Tribolium castaneum: one gene and its partner. The protein of the gene in region 2 interacts with the protein of the main gene of each other region in a pairwise test. Links are inferred from orthologs where the notes say so. Each region holds a gene or a part of one and is shown on either strand. Other genes may lie near its edges.

Evidence for each region.
Region 1: the proteins of Art8 (region 2) and Ntmt interact in a two-hybrid assay, tested with the Drosophila melanogaster proteins (2 studies listed by BioGRID). The link is inferred for Tribolium castaneum from reciprocal best matches to the Drosophila melanogaster genes Art8 and Ntmt.

The regions. Positions count from the first base shown.
Region 1 is NC_087398.1:11,363,485-11,366,623, reverse strand, and holds Ntmt (N-terminal Xaa-Pro-Lys N-methyltransferase 1), read right to left. Parts: upstream 1,710-3,139; 5' UTR 1,551-1,709; coding exon 1,534-1,550; exon of another isoform or gene 1,531-1,533; coding exon of another isoform or gene 1,526-1,530; intron 1,474-1,525; coding exon 1,009-1,473; intron 953-1,008; coding exon 712-952; 3' UTR 689-711; downstream 1-688. Other genes in the region: RpL35 (large ribosomal subunit protein uL29), read left to right, coding at 79-81, 253-389, 436-667; uncharacterized protein LOC659581, read left to right, coding at 1,989-2,119, 2,168-2,321, 2,369-2,977, 3,026-3,139. UniProt on the Drosophila melanogaster protein: Alpha-N-methyltransferase that methylates the N-terminus of target proteins containing the N-terminal motif [Ala/Pro/Ser]-Pro-Lys when the initiator Met is cleaved.
Region 2 is NC_087396.1:23,002,231-23,006,278, reverse strand, and holds the end of Art8 (protein arginine N-methyltransferase 6), read left to right. Parts: coding exon of another isoform or gene 1-99; exon of another isoform or gene 100-148; intron 149-170; coding exon 171-407; intron 408-2,590; coding exon 2,591-2,778; intron 2,779-2,831; coding exon 2,832-3,396; 3' UTR 3,397-3,410; downstream 3,411-4,048. Other genes in the region: prostaglandin reductase 1, read right to left, coding at 1-99.

The DNA of each region.
Region 1 (3,139 bases), on a different chromosome or scaffold from region 2:
TTTAAGAAATTTAAACTGGTGTCGTAGTGCCAACTTAACCGACGTAAATTCTTTCAGATTGTTGTTGCGGAAGGCAGAATGGTAAGTTAAATAAATCTGAGTTTATTTTATAATTTACGGATCATCTGGTAACCAAACGACCAAGTTTCGCCCCCATTACCGTCCCCCGACTCTTGCATTGCGTTATTTCCCTCTTTCCTCGCAAATTTCGTGTTTGTGTCCGTTAGGTTAACTAACCTACAATTTTTTCAGGGTAAGGTAAAGTGCTCCGAACTGCGAACTCGCGACAAGAAGGAGCTCACCAAGCAGCTCGATGAGCTCAAAACCGAGCTCACAAGTCTCAGGGTGGCCAAAGTGACGGGCGGCGCCCCCTCGAAACTGTCCAAGATGTAAGTGTTGTTTTGCTTCAGCCACCAAGTAATGCTCGAATTACAGTCGCGTTGTACGCAAAGCCATCGCTCGCGTGTACATTGTGATGCACCAGAAGCAAAAAGAGAATTTGCGGAAGTTGTACAAGAACAAGAAATACAAGCCTCTGGATTTGAGACCTAAGAAGACCAGGGCTTTGCGCCGTGCGCTCACCAAACACGAGAGACGCATCAAGACGCCCAAGGAGCTCCACAAGAGGTCGATCTACCCCCAGAGGAAGTTCGCGTTGAAAGCTTAATTTGTACAATTAAATAAAACGTTTCGTAAAATAGTTATTTCATTTTATTCATCAGGTACGTGTTGTTTTTGGGGTCGTAGGATAAACATGTAGACCGTGTACAAGCCCTTGGGGAAGTTTCGTTGCTTCACTTGTCGGTAACAGTCCAAGTCAGCTTTTGCGAATATTTGGCGGAATAAAGACAAGGGGCGTGTGACTGAAGAGTCTCGCTCGTCTTTGTCAATTTCCTCACTTGACGAAATGTTTTCTTTGATTATTATGACACCATTTGGTTTAAGTCCACTTCTGGAAGAATAATTAATTTCAAATAAAAACTGTAACCAAAAGTGGCAAACACTTACTGGCACGACTTTAAAAACGTAACTAAATCCAGATCTGTCAAGTGCCCCAAAACCCACTGGCACCAGATAACATCGTACTGTTTCTCGGGCTTGAAACTCTGGAGCCCCACAGAATAATAATTAACCTTCTCCTGCAACTTGGGCCCTAAATACTGTTCGGCTTGACTTAGAAACTTTGGATTTTGCTCGACTAGATCAATTTGATCGAAAAAATCGCTAAGGAGGTGCTTGGTTATGCGCCCAATGCCGGCACCACAGTCAAGGGCGTGCCCCCGGCCTGGGGGCTCCTTCGAGTTAAACAGCTGCTTGAGCAGCAATTTGGAGTCCCTAATATCGGTCTGAGAGATGTGCCCGAAACCGCCGAGCATACCGTCGATGGTTGGGGGGATCTCGGACCAATACTGAACGGCGTTTGAGTAAAATGAATCATCGGTTGTCGACGCACTACTCACTTCCATTTTCACACTTAAAAATTATTAACAAAATGAAAATGAAACGAAAAAGGCGGGCACTTTACGACATAACCTATCATTTTTTGACATTTGGTAAAACTGGCACGTTCCATAAATCGCAATAAATTAATACAGCTTATTAAATTATAATTAAATATCACTCAAAATGGCAGGCAGTCGTGGGGGCGAATCACTAATTGTGTACAAATAAGTCGGTGAGTTTGTCCAAACTTTTTGATTTTTGTCAGGGTGACGTTTCGGAAAGCACCCAATTTGGCAGCGATTGTTTGGTCGACTGTAATGTTCATGATTTTTGGTGCTATTTTCTTATTCTATGATCCAATTTGACAAATCGGTGTGACAAATAGCCCCACCGGCGTTTGTCATCATGTTTTGTTGTGTTTCGTAACAAATTCAATGGATTTGTTCCATAAAGCGTTGAAAACAATACTTTCGTTATCATGATTGTGATAAGGCACCCCAAATGCTATTAAAGGCGTGTTGGTAGTGGACGGTTTTAGTTACAAAATGCGCATAATTAGAACAATGCAAATCAGAAAAGTGTTTCTTCTGGCCATTTCTTCAGCCTTTGGTATTCTGATGTTACTTATAGTAACACGGGACTCTCCAATAAATGACATCGACCGAAAATTCCGATTGTGAGTATGAATGAGTTATTTTCGTAAATTCGAATTTGTGGCCTTTAGGGAAAAAATCGACGAACTGATTCACTCACAGGCGAGCTCCCTGGCTTGCAAACAGCCCAACTTGCCGGTATTTTCCCCCGAAATGATGAAATTCGTCCATGAGGAGCCCCCAATTGACTGTTCATCGGCAGGGCCGGACTGGGTCAAATGCCAAGTAAAGTTTTGCCGAATTTTAGCACAACTCTCAAACGCTGATTCAAGGGTAGCGAGTGTCGAATCCAGGACGAAATTAAGGCGAGACACGGACGCGTCACTTGTTCTTTCACTGATATAATCCGAGTCAATGATTTTGAGTCAACCAGTGGGGAAACAACCTACTCAGACTCCTACTATAAACTCGAAGCGAGCGATGTAGTCAAAGTTTCGTGTCGGGGGCAAAAGGCCCAATGGTCGGCGACTTTGACCGGAATTCGCCTCGATAAAAAAATTTGGGAGAATACTAGTTGGAGTAAACTACCCTCGGACGCTGTGAAGTTCAACGTTTTGATGTTCGGTTTCGACTCAATTTCGCGCAACTCTTTCGTGCGAAAGTTGCCCAAAAGCTACAAGTTTTTGACTGAAATATTGCACGGGGACGTTCTACAAGGGTATAACATAATCGGGGACGGAACCCCGCAAGCCCTAATACCGATTTTAACGGGGAAGACCGAACTGGAACTCCCTGATACGAGAAAACGGTTCGCAAACACGAAATTCGTGAACTCGTACCCGTTTATTTGGAATGAGTACAAGAAGGCGGGATACGTGACTGGTTACTTTGAGGATGTGCCCGAACTGGGGATTTTTACATATCGCCTAAATGGTTTCAATGTTTGTGTGTTATTGTATTGTTGGCTATGAAGTCAGAAATGGTTTTAGGAAACTCCAACTGATCACTACATGCGGCCGTATTACCTCGCTTCGTTGGGGGAAAGACGCAAATGGCCAAGACTTTGTACCGGGGAAATACCGAGGCATCAAGTCATGTTCAAT
Region 2 (4,048 bases):
TTCGAGCGCTGGCAGCTCTTCTTCATGCAACTTCAGGTCGCTTTCTTTGATTTCTCCGTCGAAAATTTTCGCAACGGTGTACACTTGTGCCTTCACCATCTTGATCGGAGCTAATGACGCCAATTGTCGAAAATCACGTCCTTATCTCCGGTTTTATCTGATCGTTTCAGATTCATCAGATCATGTTGAGAGATGCACCGAGGAATAAGGCTTACAAGCAAGCGATTTTTGACAATGCTGACCAGATTTTGGGGAGGAGGGTTTTGGACGTGGGGGCTGGGACTGGGATTTTGTCGGTTTTCTGCGCCCAAGCTGGGGCTGCCAAAGTCTATGCCGTTGAGGCAAGTAACGTGAGTAAGATAGCTCGAGAGGTGATCAAGGAAAATGGGTTCGATAAGGTGATTGAGGTGAGTAAGTGATTGGATCTTATCAATAGTTGTAATGTAGTTATTATGGATCGAGTGCGCTGCAGACAATAGATTATCATAATTATTGTGGGTTAATTGGCGCTTAATCTCGCGTGATTACGTGATAATTTATGTATAAATGATCGTTTTTCACGTTTTTAACAAAAAGAAATTGAAATTTAATTTATTTTGAAAATAACTACTAGTAACATTTGGTTTGTAATTTTTTATAGTCAAATGTTCTTCTTACATGCCTTGTTTTTTTAATTATAATCAAAACACGGGATGATACGTGAAAAATAAAAATAAAATAAAAATTTGAGAAAACAAAAAAAAATTAGTTAAAACCCTAACTACTTGTTGTCGGTTCATAATTTTTTTTATCGTCAAAAACCTTTTCGACAAGCTTTGTTTTCTGTAAAAATTATGGCAACCGCTACACTTGAGAAAAAATATTGTTTGTGATGATATTAAAAAAAAGAAAAAAATTGTTAAAGCTTTCTAAGTATTAAATACTTAAAAAATTTAATTAAAAGCTTTGTTTTTTGCAAATATTAGTATAAGTGATACTTATTTCTAGGAATATAATAAAAAAAATTGAAAAAAGCAAAAAAAGAACCTAATTGAATCCTAAATAGGATTTTCGATTCATAATGTTTTTACAGGGAAGAGCTTTTTTTCTCTACAGATCTCGCAGAGATCTCGTGTTGTTTTGTGATTTTTTAAACATAGTGTTTCGACCAAAATCATATTTAAACTTCCGATAAAAAGCAAAAGGAACAACTTTTTTACCAAATTCGGTGATTTTTTTGGGTAATTTTAGACGAAATTTTTCTGAATAATTGCGCTTTTGGACGAAAAACATATCATTTTCGATCCAGTTATTGAGTTTTTAGCCAGGTTTAGCAAAATTTTGTAAAATCTACGTTTCTATCTCAATAATGTACCACTCGAAAAATAAAAAAAAATCTCCAATGTTAAGATTTTTGGAAGAAGCAAAAAGGACCTTTCGATCCAGTTTAGTAATATTTTATAAATTTTGTGAATTAAGTGCGTTTTTTAAAAAGAGGTGAAACGCTTAAAGTCGTAGGCAAAAGAAAATGTCATTTCTAATGTTGTTTTTTTTATAGAATTTTTCAAAATAATGTGTTTATGTTTAAACAGTGTGCTAAAATGTTTGGAAAAGGAAAAGATATTTTCTGACTTCTCTTACTTTCAACACAATTCGACATTTTTCGGAATATTTTTTGTTAAATTTGGCAAAATAATTGAAAAAATAGGGGAAATAAAATAATTTTTCAACAAATTTTTGATTTCTCGTCTCATTTTAATACAATTTTCTCATAAAACTGAGTTTAAGTGCTCCAATAAGGCAAAAATAATAGCATTTTTTATCCAATTTAACGATTTTTTGGAATAATTTTCATACAAAATGACGCATTATCTACGAATTTTTTTGTGTAATTAACTAAGTAATGAAAAGGTCAATAAACTTCTAAAGGTTTGAGAAGTGAAATAAATTTCCAAGTCCACCAACTGTATCTTATATAAAATCAATCTAGAACTTGTTATTTAATGAAGTGTGTTTTTCCAGATTAAATTCAAAATGTAGTTCACTTACTGTAGAAATTCTCGATTGTAATAATAGATAAAAATCTGTGATCTTTTAGAACTTTTTCATAAATTATTAAATTATTACTGAAAAATATGAACGGAAATATTTCCCTCTAAAATCTCCAAGCTTTTAATGGAGCTACATTTTATTTTATTTTAACATTTATCTCATCTATTCGACAGTGCATATTGTTTATTTATGTTTTTATTATTAAATAAATTAAAAATTTCACTTGTGAAGGCACTAAGAACATATTTTTGGGAAAATAACTAGGTACAATAAACGGTTTATTATGTTACAAAAAGTGAAAGAATTGCAAAATCATTCATAAAAATTTTTTGTGACTAATCTGTCATAATACGATAAATCAAATCGATGATAAATTAGATAAGCGAACATGAAAATTTCTGAATCATTTCATGTTTGACGCAAATACAGATTTTAGAACTCAGTGAATTGGCAATAATTAAAAAAAAATTTTGACAAACGAAATTTCATCAGAAATATTTTCAATGTTTACTTCGGAAGATTCCAGTTACGACTGGAGCTATCTTTTGTGCCCTTTTAGGTGATTAATTCCAGAATTGAGGACACAGTTTTGCCGGAAAAAGTCGACATAATAGTATCAGAATGGATGGGCTTCTACCTTTTGCACGAAGGCATGCTAGACTCTGTAATTTTCGCCCGAGACAAATTTCTCAAACCGGGCGGTTTAATGTTCCCCGAATCGGCAACAATTTACTCAGCTCCTTGCTGGTTTGTGTTTTTCACTCTCGCAAAAAAAAACAATAATAAAATAAAACTCCTAGCGTCCCCTCAATGTTCGACTCCTGGGGCAACATCGAAGGCGTCTCCATGAAAAGCTTCAGCGAGAAGCTCCGCACTGAGGCATCGCACAAACCCAGCACTGTTTCGGTGGCCAAAGAGCACATTTTGGCCGATCCTGAGGTGCTGCTGTGGATTGATTTACGCGAAGTAACGCAGAAAGAAGTTGACGGGTTTAAGGTCCAGCACATCGCTGTGGCAACCAAGGCGGGGAAGTACCAAGGGATTTGTTTGTGGTTCACTTGCACGTTCCCGTCTTTTGTGACTGAACCCGTCACCCTATCCACTGCTCCTGAAGATCCAGAGACGCACTGGAAGCAAACAACTATCGTTCTCCCGACTGAAATCCAAGTCGAGCAAAAAGCGCCAATTGCCTACGAATTATCCCTAGCTCGAGCTCAGGAAAATCCAAGACGGTACAACATTGAGGTGACCATGCTGGACCCTGCCGAGGTCGAACATCCAGAATATTGTGCCTGTCATATGACTAAATGTATTCTAGTTTGGGCAATGTTGGAAAAATATGAGAAAGAAAGTATGGGTAAATAAATGTGTGGTCTCGATTTTTTTGCTTTGATTTCCCCGGATTTCCTCTGATTTCCTTAAGATTTCTCCTAATTCTTTCACAATTTAGTTATCATAATAGGTATTTTTGTAATTTGGAATAATTTGGAGCAAATGCAAAAAAATTATTATCACTCGACAGCTCCTCAAAAAAACAAGTTATATGCTGTTTTGCTTTAAATAAATAAATATTATTATTTTAAAATTGGCAAGAATGAGATGTTAGAAAAACCTTCGGTACTGTATATAAAGCGGCATTTCTCTAATTTTACATGAGAAGTTTACAGACGACTAGATGATTAAAACACATTTTTCTTTTTATAAAAAATCATACTTCGTGATTCTGCTTTTACAAGAAAGTATTGTTTAAAAAAAATCGAAAACGGAAAAAGTAATAAAAGCTTATTAAATCTAGTTGTATAATATCAAATAAGACACTGCCATTATTATCTCAAAAGCTGCACATTGCCGATTTTTTTTCTAAAATACCTACTTACTACACATCTGTCAAATGTCTTATTTTTCTTGTAACTAGATTATTTTTAACGTCAATATTTTTATTGACACCATGCAACTAGATTATTATTGTTTTTTATTTAATAAATGTAAATTAAAATTTAAAATAAATTGAGGACGC